Linked DNA regions of Macaca mulatta. The protein of the gene in region 4 purifies or fractionates together with the protein of the main gene of each other region. This does not show direct contact. Links are inferred from orthologs where the notes say so. Each region holds a gene or a part of one and is shown on either strand. Other genes may lie near its edges. The genes, in order: RBBP7, SAP30, BRMS1 and ARID4A.

What was found.
Region 1: the proteins of ARID4A (region 4) and RBBP7 purify together in Homo sapiens (affinity purification with mass spectrometry; 4 studies listed by BioGRID and IntAct, counting the BioPlex papers as one, with this or other methods). This does not show direct contact. The link is inferred for Macaca mulatta from reciprocal best matches to the Homo sapiens genes ARID4A and RBBP7.
Region 2: the proteins of ARID4A (region 4) and SAP30 purify together in Homo sapiens (affinity purification with mass spectrometry; 5 studies listed by BioGRID and IntAct, with this or other methods). This does not show direct contact. The link is inferred for Macaca mulatta from reciprocal best matches to the Homo sapiens genes ARID4A and SAP30.
Region 3: the proteins of ARID4A (region 4) and BRMS1 purify together in Homo sapiens (affinity purification with western blotting; 3 studies listed by BioGRID and IntAct, with this or other methods). This does not show direct contact. The link is inferred for Macaca mulatta from reciprocal best matches to the Homo sapiens genes ARID4A and BRMS1.

Annotation. Positions count from the first base shown.
Region 1 is NC_133426.1:16,538,333-16,542,632, reverse strand, and holds the start of RBBP7 (histone-binding protein RBBP7), read left to right. Parts: upstream 1-1,480; 5' UTR 1,481-1,825; coding exon 1,826-1,841; intron 1,842-1,894; exon of another isoform or gene 1,895-2,233; coding exon of another isoform or gene 2,234-2,381; intron 2,382-2,655; coding exon 2,656-2,800; intron 2,801-4,300. UniProt on the Homo sapiens protein: Core histone-binding subunit that may target chromatin remodeling factors, histone acetyltransferases and histone deacetylases to their histone substrates in a manner that is regulated by nucleosomal DNA.
Region 2 is NC_133410.1:181,801,506-181,805,666, reverse strand, and holds the start of SAP30 (histone deacetylase complex subunit SAP30), read right to left. Parts: upstream 2,828-4,161; 5' UTR 2,607-2,827; coding exon 2,292-2,606; intron 427-2,291; coding exon 301-426; intron 1-300. UniProt on the Homo sapiens protein: Involved in the functional recruitment of the Sin3-histone deacetylase complex (HDAC) to a specific subset of N-CoR corepressor complexes. Capable of transcription repression by N-CoR.
Region 3 is NC_133419.1:8,078,850-8,082,968, forward strand, and holds the start of BRMS1 (breast cancer metastasis-suppressor 1), read left to right. Parts: upstream 1-1,270; 5' UTR 1,271-1,359; intron 1,360-4,119. Other genes in the region: B4GAT1 (beta-1,4-glucuronyltransferase 1), read left to right, coding at 94-285. UniProt on the Homo sapiens protein: Transcriptional repressor. Down-regulates transcription activation by NF-kappa-B by promoting the deacetylation of RELA at 'Lys-310'. Promotes HDAC1 binding to promoter regions.
Region 4 is NC_133412.1:131,422,874-131,427,009, reverse strand, and holds the start of ARID4A (AT-rich interactive domain-containing protein 4A), read right to left. Parts: upstream 2,835-4,136; 5' UTR 2,660-2,834; intron 2,169-2,659; exon of another isoform or gene 1,672-2,168; intron 1,568-1,671; 5' UTR 1,511-1,567; coding exon 1,505-1,510; intron 1-1,504.

The DNA.
Region 1 (4,300 bases), on a different chromosome or scaffold from region 4:
GTCGAGCAGTTGCCCCCGAAGCCTAAAATATTTACTATCTCGGTCCTGTTAGAAAAAGTCTTGCCAACCAGCGTCCTAGAATATGAGGGCTGTATTGCTTAAACACCCTTCCAACTCTTTTCCCTCTCCAGCCACCCCCTCAGCCTTAGGCACTAACAAGATTCTTTGACCCGGCATAGGGGGAGGGCGTTATAATAATGAACTGTATTGTATCGGAAACAAGACAGTAAATATCTACAGAAGGGAATGTGTGACTGGTTCTGCCACTGACTAACGTCTGGGTTTGCGTCCCGGTCAGAAAAGTGGGCATGACAGCGGCATCTGCAAGATAGCATCTGAGCATGAAGGCACTTGGAAAGGTATCAAGGCAGCAAATGTTCCGGGGGTGCTTTTGCAAGAGGAGCCTCTCTCGGAGCTGGACGTACACTTCGGTTCCCTTTGCACGCAGGCACCTTGGTCGCCTCCCCCAACTCCGTCCCCTCTGCTCCTGGCCCTCATTTTCTTTTATTCCCCTTTTGGCCTTGCAGCCAGTTTTCTCCTCCCCCGATACACTCCCCAGGGGCTATGAAGTTCCCGAGCAGAGCATGGCTCAGGTAAGCAGGCCCAGGGCAGTTCAGCCCTGCTCTCTCCAGCTCCGCCAGCTTGGGGTGGGGTCGCCCTGGGACCCCTGCAGGTGACAAAAATGACTCAGCAGGGGCCGGGGCTGGGATGCGAAAGGAATGCCAGTGCTGGAACAAAATCCCCTGAAGCACGAAGAGGCCTCAAACCATCATCTTAAGGACCCAAACATCGAACAAATTAAAATGTAACAATGTAAATCGGTTTCGGCCCGCCGGCGGCCTGTGCCGCTACAGGCTGCACATTTAGCCTAACAAGGCGGCCCGGCGGCTTTTGCAGGCAAAAAACGCCCGCGGCCTCTCCAGAAGCTCTCTTCCCTCTGAGACCAGCCCCACCTCGGCCCGACCGGGCCCCAGGAAAGGCCAGTCGGCTGGAGGAGAACATTTCAGGGGTGCAGAGAATTGCATGTCCGTGATTATCAGGGAGACTTTGAAGGCACAGTAATCTCTCGAGAACAGGAACCATTTTCCCCTCTTGCTCTGAGATTTTGCTTGGCTAAGCGGCAGCAGCCTCCCTGCCCCCCTCTCACCCCCACCACCGCTGCCGCTACCAGCAACCACGCCCCGCGGGCCCCAAGGCTAGCCGCCCCGGGGCTCGCGGCCCCCGCTCAGCCGGCCAGCCGCGCCTCCATCCACCCCACCCTCGCGCGCCCCCATCCGCCCCGCCCCCTCGGGCCCTCATCCGCCCCGCCCCCGCGGCCCCCATCCGCCCCCGCGGCCGGCCCTGGGAGCACCGGGCGAGCCCTCGCGCCTGCGCATCGCCAACTTCCTGCCGCGGCACGCTCCGCCCACCCCCAGAAGCCCGCCTCCGAACGCCGCGTGAAACCCGCCCGCCGCGCGTCATTGGTCGCGGCGCTGGAGCCGTTGGCTCCCAGACCCGCCTCTCCGCCTCCTCTCACTTTTCCCAGGGCGGATGCGCCTGCGCTTAGCTGCCTGGGCGGGCTGGGAGGCGCGGGTTGAAAAGTCTCGTTCCAAGTTTGGAGAGAGAGAGAAGAGCGCCTCAGACCTCGGTACCCGCGAGCGGGGAGGAGGCAGGAAACAAGGACGCGGCGTCTGGGGAGCACCCAGGCAGCAAGACTGGGCCCGGGCTTTCGACCGCGGGGAGTGTGTGACGCGTTTGGGAAAGGCAGGAGCGCCAGTGGTCGGGCTGCTCTTGGCTAACGAGGGGAGTCCGAGGCGGCGGCGAGGGGCGAACGACCCGACGCAAGATGGCGAGTAAAGAGAGTAAGAGGCCCTGCGGGGCGGCGCGCGCCGGGGCCGCGGGGGGCGGCGGGCGCGCGAGGCCGCGGCACGCGCCGGCGAAAGGCGCGAATTGGCGTGCGGAGCAGGGGGCGGGGCCGGGCGCGAGGCTGGGCGCGCGCCTCGAGGGGCCTGCGCGGGACGGGACCGCCGTGCCGAGGGCTCCGAGCACTTCCGGAGCCGGGCGCGGGGCCGAGGGCTGGGCCCCTCTCTTCTCTTCCCTCCTCCAGAGGCTGCGCTCCCTCCGGCGCCCTCGGCCCCGGGGCGGAGGCGGCCGCCGCCGCCGGGAAGCGAACGCCGCGGCTCCTTCTACGCGCGCGCGTTGACCGCCTCGGGGTCGCGGCCCTTGTCCGGGGGTTGCTGGAGCCCTCAGGCCTATGGCTGCCGAGGCGGGTGTCGTGGGAGCTGGGGCCTCCCCTGATGGGGATTGGAGGGACCAGGCCTGTGGGCTTCTGGTACACGTGCAGTTATCTTCCCGAGTGGGTCGCGCAGCCCCTGTACGTACAGGTCGTCATCTTAGAACAGGTGCGAACAGCTGTAACAGGGTAAACAATTTCCATGTCCGTGTAATTGACTACCCAACATGGTATACGCAGAGGGTATTGATCTCAACGGAAAAAAAGAGGCTTCGTGGTTGGTAGTATTTTCTTCACCTTCTGGAAGAGCAGTTAGTTGTCCGTGTCCAAATTAGAGGTAAAAGGAAAGAGTACATGAGGTGTGGCCATCTTGAGGTGACCTCCAATTTCTGACTTCGATCCATCTCAGCCACTTAATTGTGTGGGCTTTCTCCAAATTTCAGTGTTTGAAGATACTGTGGAGGAGCGTGTCATCAATGAAGAATATAAAATCTGGAAGAAGAATACACCGTTTCTGTATGACCTGGTTATGACCCATGCTCTTCAGTGGCCCAGTCTTACCGTTCAGTGGCTTCCTGAAGTGACTAAGTAAGGGTTTCTGGCAACTTTTTTTTTTTTTTTTTTGCTTAAATTTAACTGTCGTTCTGAATTTCCTAGTTTTGGCGTTTTATACCTAGAACATAAGTATGTAATCAGCCCTTGCATGGGGTGGCAGGTGGTTTTTATTTTCAAAACTTAACGTGATTTATGGGATGATTTCTGGCGTATAGTGTGGTGGTAAAAGGGGAGAAAGAATCCGTTGTGAGATTAATGGTATTTGGAGGAAACACTGAATGTATTTGACAGTTCCTGGGCTCGAATGTAGAGCAGCATCTCTCTGGGCCCAAACTAATGCGTTTCTTTAAAACTTTATTGAAAAAGAGAATATTTACAGAAAAGTTCACACATCATAAGTGTTGTATGGCTTCATAAATTTTTGCAAAGTGAACACACGTAACAGTCACCCAAGATAAATACATTTTAATTGGTAAAGGCAAAAAGACCTTGTCAACAATTGACTAAAGAAAAGATGTTATTGGCTTATGGAATACACTTTGAGATTGCCGTTAGTCTTCATAAGAGTATTCTTTTCTGTTAGATCTACAGTTTCTCTGGTAATAATTGCTGGCATTTATTGAGCACTCAACAGGGCCTGGCACAGCTGAAGAATCTACGTCTTGTTGTAATCCTCACAGTAGTACTATGCTGTAGGTAATTTTCATTATCCTTGTTTTACTGATAGGGGAACTGGGAGTGAGCGTTTAAGTGCCATCCCAAGATCACACAGCTGGTCCCTGCGTTAGTCTGCCTTTCTCATTCACTTGAACCTTTTCTAGTAGGAACTTGACCATGTACTTTTAAAGTGTATTAAATATGGGGCCAGGCACAGTGGCTTATACTCCTGTAATCCTAGCGCTTTGGAAGGTTAGCTTGAGCTCAGGAGTTCAAGGCTGCAGTGAGCCATGATTGCGCCACTGCATTCCAGCTTAGCCAACAGAGAGAGACCCTGTCTTCCAAAGAAACAACAAAAAAGCATCTTAAATTTGAGTGTTGTGGGCATATAATTTAAAGAGGATTAAATGAAACTCTAACCTAAAAAGAGGATTTTGCAACAAGTTATAAAAATAATAAGCTAATTTTGGCTGGGCGCGGTGGCTCACGCCTGTAATCCTAGCACTTTGGGAGGCCGAGGCAGGTGGATTGCCTGAGCTCAGGAGTTCGAAACCAGCCCAGGCAACACGGTGAAACCCTGTCTCTACTAAAATACAAAAAAAAAAAAAAATTAGCCGGGCGTGGCAGCGTGTGCCTGTAGTCTCAGCTACAGGGAGGCTGAGGCAGAAGAATTGCTTGAACCTGGGAGGCGGAGGTTGCAGTGAGCCAAGACCGCACTACTGCACTCCGGCCTGAGCGAGAGCAAGACTCTATCTCTTAAAAATAAAAATAATAATTACAATAATAATCTAATTGTATATAAAACTGCTCTTACAATGGCTAGGTTCTCCATATGCAAACATTGATTTCCATACAGATAGGAATTTCCACTGGGCT
Region 2 (4,161 bases), on a different chromosome or scaffold from region 4:
TAAAAAATTTACATAATCAAACCTATAAATTATTAAACAGTTTAATCTTTTGGGGATTAATAATATAAACTGAGGTCAAAAAAGAGTAAGTTATGTGACAACAGAGCCGCAAAAATTGTCAATTTAAAATGTAACAATTCAAACTGTGTAAATGCATGACAACTGGCTATATTTAATTTTGCTTTCATTTTCAGATTTCTCAAATGTTTTAAACACTTAAAAGATTGTTCATATCTTTTTATAAAGGTTTCAGAATGCACTACTTAGGATTTATATTAAGCATAAAAAACTTCCATTTACCTCTGGGGTATCAATATCTTGAACAGGTGAATCACCTCCATCATCATCACTCCCTTTTCTCTTTCTTCTGTTTCGAACACTCTGAATTAAGTTTTTATGATAATCACATATGTAAAGATGCCTTGCCTGAAACAGAAAAGTTTCACACACTGCTAATGATTACAGTAAAATGTGTCTATGTATTAGTAAAACACATATGCCACAGATAGTAAAAATAAAGACAGTCAAGATGGCCATTGTTAACACAATGAAATATTTATACATTTAAATCCTAAACCCTGTTAAAACATAAGAAGTCTGGAATACTGTTAAAAGGATGGTGGATGGGGAAGGAGGGGTTGGTTCCATTTGGGGAAGGGGTGAAGGGAGGGAGGGAGAGGAGAATGAGAAATTCCAACCCTCTGGGTTTTGGCATCAAATTGCAGTGAGGGGCCGGGCGCGGTGGCTCACGCCTGTAATCCCAGCACCTCTTGAGCTCAGGAGTTCCACACAAGCCTGGCCAAAATGGTGAAATCCCGTCTCTACTAAAAATACAAAAAATTGGGCGGGCGTGGTGGCACTAGTCTGTAATCCTAGCTACTCAGGAGGCTACCGCAGGAGAATCACTTGAACCTGGTGGGTGGAGGTTGCAGTGAGCTGAGATCGCGCCACTGCACTCCAGCCTGGGCAACAGAGTGAGACTTTGTCTCACATAAATAAATAAATAAATAAATAGCAGTGAGGATGACATGAATTAGTTCATGTTGAATTTTTAACTGTTAAGGGGAAAGATGATGCTGCCCACTTTTGCTACTTGACAGTACTTTCTCTACTTAAAGAAGAGCATATTTTTGTAACATAATGTATGCTTTCCAGTCTTTCCAACTGAATGCCCAAATTATATTCCGGATACAAAACCATCCGTTTTTACAAATGAGCTATCGACTTCATAACTATATTTAAATTTCAGTTATCAACTTTTCTGAATATTAAATTAAATCAATGTATTTATTTATAACACATTTTCCCAAAGCAATCTGAAATTATGCAAGTTCACCTGAAAAGTTTCTCACGGATAACACTGAAAACTGTTTAAACGGGCAAAAAAGTATCACAAATAAACTTTTCAAAAACTTTAATTACACACACTCCTGCGAACTGTAGACTAACATTTGAAACAAATACGGACTGAGCTAACAGGCTTTTACATTTACTTCGAAGCCAAGCGCAAGATAAAAATACGCAGGACTTGTGGTAGGTTCTTGATACCATGTTATTCATTTACCGCTAGCCAGATCTCCCAAAAGTAGCAACGGCTGTTAGATGGTCAAACGAAAAGACGCGCAGGAGGAGGAAAAAAGAAATCCTGATGGCTGCCAAGGGGATGGCAAAACCGCAGAGGCTACGTGCTCCCCACCATCGGAGCAGCTGCCCTCGGAGCTGACAGCGCAAACGCCGTTTACAGCCCCGGCTCACTGCCAGGCGGCGGGCGAGCTCGGCTTCCCTCTCACTCCGCTCCGGAGGAGACGGAGCACAGAAAGGAACAGGATCTTCCTTGATCGCGAAGGTCCTCCACTTTCCCCTAGACCAGGGGAGTTAGCACCGCCTGGGGCCAAACACCAGCTTGGGCAGCGAAACAAAGGCGCCTCCATTCCAGAAGAGCTGCCGGGCTGCAAGAAAACTACTCTGGGCCCTCGGTCCGGCGGTCCCCTTTGTTTCGTGTCCTGGTCGCAGAGGAGAAGGAAGAGGGAAGACAGTGCGCGGGAGAGTCGCAGGCAGCGGGAGGCTGGGGGCAGGGTGGGAAAGAAAAGGGGAACGACAGCGTGCGTGTTGTGTGTGTGTTGGGGTGGCGGTCGGAGTTGCAGCGACTTTGTTATTTGCTTCCAAACACAGACTCCACGAGACCGCACTGCAGCCAGGTCTGGGAGACCCCGCCGACAATCCGTGCCTTTGCCCGACTCCTGGGGCCCCACCAGGGGACAGGAGGGCAGGGCGATCCCGCGGTTACTTACGCTCTTATCCAGCTCGATCTTCACCTTCTTCTGGGAGATGCTCTTCTGGATCCTCTTGCTGAAGCTGGCGTTGCCTGCCGCCCGGCCGCAGCGCTCACCATCCTCCCGCAGGCAGCACAGTTGCCCTGGGCCCGGCCCGGCCGCCCCCGGGGGCCCAGCCACTGAGACCGTCCCCGCGCCCGGCACCTCAGCCCCGGCGCCCGCGCCAGTCCCGTTCCCCGCGGAGGCGGCGGCGGCCGCGGCAGCGACTACGGCGGCCACTGCAGCGGCCGCATCTCCGCCGCGGCTCATCTCGTCAGGCGTGAAGCCGTTCATGTCTCCGAGCTCCCGAGCGCCGGCGCTGACACAAATCCCCTCTCTCCTGGCCGCTCCGCCTCTCTCCGCTCCGGCAGCGGCAATTCACTCTGTACACCAAGTTAGCGGCACGGTCAAACACCAACCGTCCCGGGCCTGCTGGTCTCTGCTGGCCCCGGAACAGTGGACAGTGCTGAGGGCCCGGACGCAGACTCTAGCGTCTTCTGGAGCCGGGACCCCGCTCACTGTCACATGGGGACTTCAGCAGTTGGACCGCTACGCCTCCGCCTCCCTCCGGCCCCCGGGACTGCGCAAGCGCGACGCGCCCCCTCCCGTCCCGCCCCTTTCTTTCAAACGCGCGGCCCCATGGGAATTGTAGTTGTCTGCTACGGAGTCAACCTGAGCTCCGCCCTGACCCTTCGCCCTGCGAGATGGAGGAACTACTAATCCTAGCATGCATAGCGCGGCCACGGACCCACTTTTTTTTTTTTTTTCAGTACCGGGAAAACAGGAGCGTGTGATTGGGGTTTACAGTGTTTTCTCTCTCTCTGTCTCTAGGGAAGTCGGGCTGTGTTTAGCTGCTGGGATTTCGTAGAATTGGGTTTCAGAGAAGTTACTCGATTCCTGAGGCGAAACATAAAGGGATGGGAGTGGTGTGGGAAGTGAGCGTGTGCGGAAAAAAAAGTTTCGAGGCCGTTTCGCATTTGTGGAAACACAGCTTTTGGTGTGACCGCGCTTTTGTGGGAAACCCAAACCAAGGAGAACTCAGGAGAATTGGCGCTCTTCGGTCCTGGAGGTTCCGCAGCTAACATCCCGGCTTGACCAACTATCGAGGCAGCAAATTAGTAGGGCACCTCCTGGGAGGAAAACGCCCATCCTGACTTTTCAACTGTGACAGGTCCCCCTCACAAACGCCTCGCGGGGGGCAGGGGGGCGTTTCTAAACCCTTGCATGTTCCTACAAGGGAAATGTGTTTATTCTTGGACGCACGGAGTTGGCCGCCTCCTGAGGTGGAGTACGGACCAGCTGACAACAGGGCTCCTTTTCACCTCCACGCCCAACCTTTTCCATTTCTCCTCAAACGGTTTTGGAGAAGGGCGGAGTCGTATCATTTTAAAGGAGACTTGGAACCTCACCAATACAAACGCTGCTCGACTGTTCCCAGAAACTTCCCTGCATTAGCTCTACCGGCGCGGGTAGTAGAAAGCGCATTTCCTGAGACCTGGCAGGCGCGTGCGCCCCTGCATGCTGCCCGCGTTTGTGCGCTCTTGCTTATATGTATGTGTTCGCGGGCGCGCGCGTGTGTACGTGTGTGTGCCCGCGTACGCGTGTATGTCCGTGCGTGCATGCGGGGGGAGGTGCTCGTGGAGGGCGGGGCGAGGGATGGGCGTGGCTAACACGAAAGCTGCGCCTTTACTAGTTACCACGCGTCATTATTTATCAGAAGATACACGCTGCTTAAACACAAATACGTTTTAAAATATATTTTAGGCAGTAGGGTTTTGTTTTGCAAGTTCTTTTAGTAAGTAAATTTAGTGATAAATAATTGTTTTTTCTTTTGAGACAGAGTTTCGCT
Region 3 (4,119 bases), on a different chromosome or scaffold from region 4:
GAGGGGTGAGAGCGCTGGACTGTGGCTTTAGAGAAGTCAGTCTCAGCCCTGTCAATGTCATCAAACTTTGCTGACCTGTCTTTCCTCCTACAGGCCTGCGAGCTGCATGTGGCGGGGTTTGATTTTGAGGTCCTGAACGAAGGTTTCTTGGTTCATAAGGGCTTCAAAGAAGCGTTGAAGTTCCATCCCCAAAAGGAGGCCGAAAATCAGCACAATAAGATCCTTTATCGCCAGTTCAAACAGGAGTTGAAGGCCAAGTACCCCAACTCTCCCCGACGCTGCTGAGCCCTTCCCTACCCTAGTCTGAGAAGTCAGCCTCTGGGCTCCTCAGGCCACCGTTTAGGCCTGACTGGGGTAAAAAATGTCGCTCCACTTTACAGAGGTAGCTGTGGTGTTGAAACACTGGACTTGAATATGGGGTGCTGGGATCGAGTCCTAGCTTTACCACTAACTAGCTGTGTGGCCTTGAGTAAATCCCGTTACCTCTCTGAGCCTCGGTTACCCTGTCTGTAAAAAGGGAGGTGAGAATACCTACCTCACGGAACTGTCGGGAGGCTCAGATGAGATGTTGTATGTGAAAACATTCTGTAAGCTTCGTACAAATGTGAAGTATTAATATTATCGCAGTATTATTATTGTTATTATTATTGTTATTATTAACAATCTTGGGTGGGTAGTAGGAGAGCAAAAAGTATGAATGGGATGGAGCTAAGAAGTCTGAGTACTTAATGAAATGGACTTTTTGGAAAGAAATCAGATGAAGGCATAAACTTTAGTTCTTAGCTCTTGAACAGAAGCCTAAAATTCTTGGTTCTCTCAGGCCTTCGCCCTCAAGGGCTCTAGAGGAGGGAAGACTCTGCAGGCTCCATGGGTGACAGCCTGAGATCTGTCCCTTCAACAGGCTGGGCTGGGTATGTGCCTACCGATGACAATGTGTAAATAAATGCGTGTTCACACCCACAGCTGGCTCCGTTACTCTCCTGAGCTGGGGGTGGGGTTCGGGGCCGGCTTCTCCCCTTGCACGCCATGGGGAGGTGGCAGCGGACGAAGGGCGCCGTCTGCAAAGCACTGAAACAGCAGGCCCTTTTCTGCAGGCCAAAGGCCTGCGCGAATGTCGGCCAGTTACTATGGAGACCGGCCCGCGGTATCCCAGCATGCCTCGGGACCAAACTGTCCAATTGTGAGCACCCCCGACGGTCGCCTCCTGATGACGCACACGGAAGCACCGATAGGCTCTGCCTCCCGGAGAAAAGGGAGCCGCGCAGCGCCTGCGGGAGACCGGCGCTGCTGCCGGTACCGGCAACCACGGGCACCTCTCAGGGAATATCGGTCTTGAGGCCAGAGGCCCCAGTCCCCGCGGTGCGTATCGCCATGCATGGCTTTTGGTTCGGCCTCTCCCGTTAGTCGAGCAGGGCCGGCACAATCTCCTCCTCCCAGGCCGAAGCAGAGATTTAACTGGCCTGATGCGTGCTGGGCTGCGGGCTAGCCAGCGATGTTCCGGCCCGCTCCCGCACATCTAGAAGCGAGCGGGAGGCCCCCTGGGCACCGCGGAGAAGCTGGGTTGACCTCTGCGAGAATGAGGAGGGCCTGCCTTCCCTAGGGGCGTGCCCCGGAGGAGCTGCCATTCTGAAAAGCTAAATTGCCTGTGTACAGCGCTTTACAATGTGCTTTTCCATCCCTTATACCACCGCGCTTTACAATGTCCTTTTCCATCCCTTACCACCTGCGAGCTCCTCAACACTCAGAGCAGGAATGGTTATCCGCTTTTTGCACCCGGGGTAAGATGGGAAGATTGTGACTTAACTCACTTATAATCAGAACCAGCTGGAGGAGAGAAAGGTTTCTGGAAGAGATAGATTTAAGCTGCGTCTTACAAAGTGAATATACTAACAGTGAAGAGGCATTGCAAGTGTTGGGAACTGAGGCTTGATAACGGGAAAGATGAAGCTGGTTTAGAGAACCGAGCTTTTCAAGTCAGGTGCAGATCATTAGTGAAATTGTTGAGGAATATGACTAAACGCTCACCTAGGCCAGGCTTATTATACACAACTTGAACTGGTGTCAAGGAAAGTTTGCTACCATCACAGGGACCTGGGACTACCGAAAAGTAAAAGCTAATGTCTGCCTCACAAAATTTTTTTGTTGTTGTTAAATTTGTATTTGCAAATCCTCCAGTCATCAAGTGAACCAGTACTGTGCTAGGTAAATAAGGTACGTGTGCAGCCCCTGCCCTAGTGAGGCTCATAGACTGATTGGGGGAACAGACATGAGAATAGGCAAATAGATACAAAGCTTCCTGGAGGGAGTGGCGTCTGCAGTGTACTAAAGGACTACAAGCAGTGTCCAGAGAAGTTGAAAGAACACAATAAAATAGAAGCCTGCAGGGGGCTGAGAGATTATCTGCTGAGAGGACTGTTTTCATCCTCTTAGGTGATCTCTTGGCAGTACTTGGCACTATCAGTACAATTACTACTTGGCAGTACTTGGCTTTCTTCTGAAATTCTCTTTCTCCACGACTTCGGGTTTTGCCTCCTCCTTTGTAGGGGTCTCCTCATCTGCCCCTTTGGTAACCCTGGGAGTTCCATTATGGGCGTCTTCTGATTGCACACATTCTCCCTTGCTAGTCGCACCGTCTCCTGTGGCATGAAGAACTTGCTGTATGCTGACGACCAAATCTCTGCAGCTCAGATTTCTCACTGAGACTTAGACCCATGTGCCCCCAGCTGCTTTCCTTCTCTTATTTCTGGGTCTTTGCTACTAACTCTACCTGGAATATTCCCTCAGTAAGTGCAGCTCACCCAGCTGGTCCATCTTTGGAAGCCTCCCTGCTGCATCGGGCTCCAGGTCCTGGTTATATACTCCTCCCTCATGCCCCTGGTCTTAACTCTCCTCATATCATGGTTATAGTGTGCTCCTTTGCCCCTCTCTCCCAGGAACTTGTAAACTCGGTGAGGTCAAAGACAGTCACACTTGGGGCCCCTGCATACCATAGCGTCTGACAGTACCCAGTATATGTTAGATGTTCAATACATGTTAGATGAGTCAGTAAAAGAAGGAATGCTTACCAGTGTTCAATGTTGCCGAGCAGACAATTAAAATAAGCACTGAAAAATATTGGCATTAGCCACAAGGAAGTCACTGGTTAATGCTACGGGATCAGTTTCAGCTGAGATTGATGACATTGAACGACTGGGAGGTCAAAGTAGGAACAGCCAGTGTTCATGAGACCTTGAAAAGCGTAACTGTGAAGTGGCAAACGGAGCAGTCAGGTGGAATGGGTGAAGTTTTGTGTTTCTGTGTTTTGTTAATGCTAGAAAATACCCAGGCACATCTAAAGTTTCATGGGAAGGAGGTTGCTAAGAGGGAGAAGCTGAAGACACAGAAAAGAGAGGGGAACACTGACGACCCGCGGTCCAAGAGGAGGCAGAAGGAGATGGGATTTGACCCAGAGCACAGTGAAAGACAAGGAGATTGTAGCGTTATCTGGAAGAGAAGCCGAGGGCATTATAGGCAGAAGGAACAGCTGAGGCAGAGGGCAGAAGGTGGAAGTGCAGGCACTAGCCATTATATGGTGGGATGAAGTTGCTGGACCGGTAGGTCAAGTCCAGTCTGGTAAAGACCTTGAAAGCCCCAGTTAGGAATTTAAGTCCAGTTCGGGTGTGGTGGCGGGTGCCTGTAGTCCCAGCTACTCGGGAGGCTGAGGCAAGAGAATTGCTTCAACCCGGGAGGCAGAGGTTGCAATGAGCCGAGATCGTGCCACTGCACTCCAGCCTGTCAACAGAGCGAGACTCCATCTCAAAAAGAAATTTAGGTCCAGTCCATAGGCAGTGGAGAGTGCCCCCTGGGCCTTTCCTTTATGTGGATCACAGCCTTGGCCAGTATTCCCAGGATTAGGATCACCAGTGACATCCAAGAGCAGGAGCATTTCCACAGCTCCCAGGCTTCTGTGAGAGGTGCAGACGGCCATTTGCACCCTTGTCACCCAGTATGTGCTCAAGGTGTGGCCAGGCCAGTCACTTCCCTGGCTTTCCCCATCTGGGATCAGGTTGGGTTCAGCTTCCTGCTGCCTCTTTCCCCCTCTGAGCTGTGGGCAGCCATAAGTGACAGCTCCATTCCTTC
Region 4 (4,136 bases):
TTATCAGTGAGTAAATATAATGTTTTTTTTTCCAGATACAAAATTTTTCAAAAATTCTATTTATATAAGCAGAAAAATAAAAAAATCAGAAAAAATATTTCATATTACACATATCATAAAACTAAGTTATTCATTTAGAGCTTCCTGAAATTTTGCAAATTAAAATAAATATTGCTACTAACATTAACACTAACAATATATAATTGTTTATTGACAAAGGTACATAAAGGTAACATCTTTTCATAAGGAGAGTATCAATTTGGAAAATTCATTTGCTAAAACCTGCATTTGAAAGGTTTTAAGTCTGAATTCAGCTGATGAATGCAGATATGAACCGATGGTTCAAGATCTGTAGACGTACCTAGTTTACCACACTGATCTTCCTAGTATAAAAAAACAAGCGTTACTAAGAAACATCTACTTTCAGCAAATGGACATGACCAGAATGATACATAGAATGATGCAAGAAATTTCACTCTACCATTCATTTTAATCTTTACAGTAACAGGATGATTGCTATCTCAATCTGTCATTTTACCTTTTTTTTTTTCAGAAGTTAAAGTGTATCCATACAAGTTCAACTTAACATTGTTAAGTGCAAAGTTAACAGTGTACACTTTGGAGATAACGTTTTTAAGTAGAAAATGATTTTTTGTTTTCTAATAAGTTTTCCCAAGTAATATTAAAGAATGTTAAATATGTCATTTACTTGGAGAAAATAGAAAACCATGAGAAAGTTTGGGAAAATGCTATATTTCAGAGCTTAATATACTGAAACAGTAAATAAGACAGGAATTGGCTACCTTTTAAGAACGTTTACAAAAAATACAAATTGAATAGGAATGCTTTTGGCAAATAAAAATCTGACCTGAAACATTCAATGGCCACAGCATTCAAGAATGCTATATGAGATCCTTTCCCTTTAACCATCCACATATTGATATTTGCAGTCATCCTCAGTAGAATATGTATCTTTTTAGAATAAGTATATGTTTTAAAATATTTACTGGAAAGATTTAACTGAAACTATTATTATAGTTCAACTTCAAATATTTTAGCCACATAAGTTCACTTTACACACAGAAGAAATGACACCTTCTTTACTTAATTACTTAATCCACGTACTCTTTCTTTTACAAAATCGCATTGGCACTGAGGAAGAAAAAAATTTTCGAAAAATCCCCCAAAGAACCAAAGCAGGACAAAAGCTTTACTTCTGCAAAGGTTGCTGCCAACACAGGAAGTGTTTAAAAATACTATCCGAATGGACAACAATTGAAAGGCTGCACCAGCCTTTCCAAAGTACTGCCACAGAGAGGGCCCAAACTCCGCATTTAGACACACAGATCATTTCTCACCCATTCAACACATCCTCCTATGCCGAAACTGCTGATCAGTAGGAACATCAATTTTGAGGAGCAAAACAAATGACATTCCACGGCACTAGCCTTACGACTGGCAGTGTCCAAGGCGCGAGGATCGGGGCAGCGTTGACTCCACTTACCTTCATTTTTGTTGGTGATCTGTGGGGTTCCAGCTCAGCGAGCTATCGTCGCAGTCGCTAGAACTACGGGGAGGGGGAAAGAGGCACAGACAGAATCAGTCAACTGCGGGGAGCGACCAAGGGAAAGAAAGTAAACAAACGCCAGCGGGGAGGGGCAGAATCCTCACCAGCCAAGGAACAAGACCCCTTCTGAGGGCAGCCAGGATGCAGGAGCGGAGGGGGCAACGAGAACCCCACGCGCGCCAAAGGGCAGCCCGTTCCGCCCCGGAGCTTGCCAGAGGCCCACCGCGCCCCCGCCTCGCTGGCCACTTTGACCCGGAATGCTGAACTCGGAGCCCCAGGACAGATAGCTCCGGAAAAGGGCAGGGCGCCGTTCGGGCTTCCCCAGGTCCCCCGCGGAGGCGACCGCCGAGCCTCCGCACCGCTGTCCCCTGGATACCCCGACTTCGGCCCGCGCCCCGCCTCCGCTGCTCGGCCCCCTCGGCCCGCCCCGGGCCCGCGGTGGCGGCAGCGGAGTGTCACGGCGCCATTGCTCTCCTTCCTTTGCTCTGCACCATATCAGGAAGGAGAAGCGCTCCTTCACCCAAAGGGGCAGGGGCCGCGGCCTTCAGCCGGGAGCCGCCAGAGCCCCGGGAGACCCGCGCGGGGGAGGGGGCGGGGGACTGAGGGGAGGAGGAGGGGAGGTGGCCCGGACAGGGTGTGGGAGGGGAGGGGAGCCGCACCGCAGCAGCCGCTGCCTCCTCCCAGCGCCCGCCTCAACTTTTTGTACAGCCCAGAGACGTATCAGCTCGCAGCCCCTCGAGTCCTGCCACGGACTCCGCAGAGGTGGACGCGCCGCGGAGTTGGGGAACGGCTCCCCCAAGCAGCCCGCTCCTCACGGCGCGGAAGCAAACTTAGCGGCGCGGCCAGCCCCACAGCCATTTTCCCGGGAACCCGGGGAAGCGGACGAGGCGGCTGCAGCTGCGGCGGCGGTTCCTGCAGTTGCTGCCGCTGCTCCATGGCTGGCCCCTTCTCTTGCGCTCGCCGCGCCACTTGCCTAGCATCCCTCTCCCCACCTCCGAAGCTTCCAACTGCACCGGGACCCCGGGCAGCAGCAGCTGCTGCCACTGCCGCTTCATCCATTCAGTATCCCCCGATTCCCCTCTCCCCGCCTACCAACTGCGGGTGAAGTGCGCACTGTCAGCTCCAGAGTCCTCCTCCCCTCTGACCTCCGTGGGCCCCCGTCCGGGCAGCACCACTCCCAACCGCGGCTGCAGTTCCTGCGCCCGGTTCCCCACTCGCCCCGATTTACTGCCACAATCCACCGAATAACAAGCTGTTGAGCAGACTCGCTTCTACACGAACTCCTATTGGCTGTTCATGACGCCGAAGAGCTTCGGATAGGACCTCGCTACCTGCCGTCCTCATTGGATGTAGCTCTGAAACTTCATGGATTGGTGCGAAAAACAGCAGGTAGGACATCTTCCACTTATGATTGGCTTTTTCCGAAGACCAACGTTATTGGAGAGTTGGTTATTGAGTAAGCAAGTCTTGAGAAATGATTGGTAGAGACGACTCCGGATGTGCTTGACTGGGCACTGATTGGTGAATTGAGGGGTCAGGAAGAGCAGTTCGGCACGAGGATTGGCGGCGGAGTGTCCCATGGAAACGGAACCCAGAATTGCAGCCAGGGGCTTGCACGGGGGCGGGGCAGGGTCTTTCCAAGGCGCCTGCGCTAAACCAGGTTCTCGGCGCCATTTTGTCTCGGCAGCGGTCGCCGTAGCTCCATCGCATTTTATGTTTCTGGCAAGAAGGGAACGGAGTTTTCATCAGGTAGATTGGTTTTTGTGCGTCCGTCCTCCACCGTTTCCTCCAGGACAGCACCTAGTCTTGGCCGGAGGAGTCTCAGAGCTGTCAGAAAGGTCAGTTGGAGGCTATGGTTGTCCGATTGACTGGGGGGGATGGCGCAGCCCTAGCGGCACCGGCACCGGAAGTGAAGGGGCCGCAGGAAGCCATGGTAAAAGTTCTCCTTGCGGCGGGGTGGGGAGAAGGGGCGGGATGAATGGGGGCGAGGCTTCCTCTCCCGCCGAGAGAAAGAGGTGGAGGAGAGGCAAAAGTCTTTCTTGGCGGTGCTTTTTCGGGCTTTCGAGAATGTGAGAGATTTTCTGAATTCTGCCTCTGTCTGAGCAGTCTTTCCTGTCTTTGGAAGTGCATTTTGGATACTTGCCATATTCTCCACCTGATTGGCACAAACTATGGGAGTCTCCTTAGTTAAGACAGGTCAGAAGTGATTCTTGGAAACATTCTGCATGGGTAGAGGTTTCCGCGTGCTCCTCACGCGAAAAAGCTATGAGGAAACTGGAGAAAGCGCTGGCTTTTTGGATGCTGAGGAATTTACTTGCCAGCACAGACGGTGCTTCTGTGACCTTAGACAAGCGTCTGTGTCACTCTGCGCGAGGCTTATGCTGCTTTTTGAAAGGAAAGATTGGTTGTGCAGGGACTGAAAACATCTTAAAAGGACGTCCCCGATAAGATAGACGTTGGTCTTGTTCTGTTAACATTTTGTATTCTGTTAAACGAAACATATTTTTAAATAGTGGAATTGGAGTATAAATTGGCTAGTTGTTTTATAGAATGGAGTAATTTTTTAAAT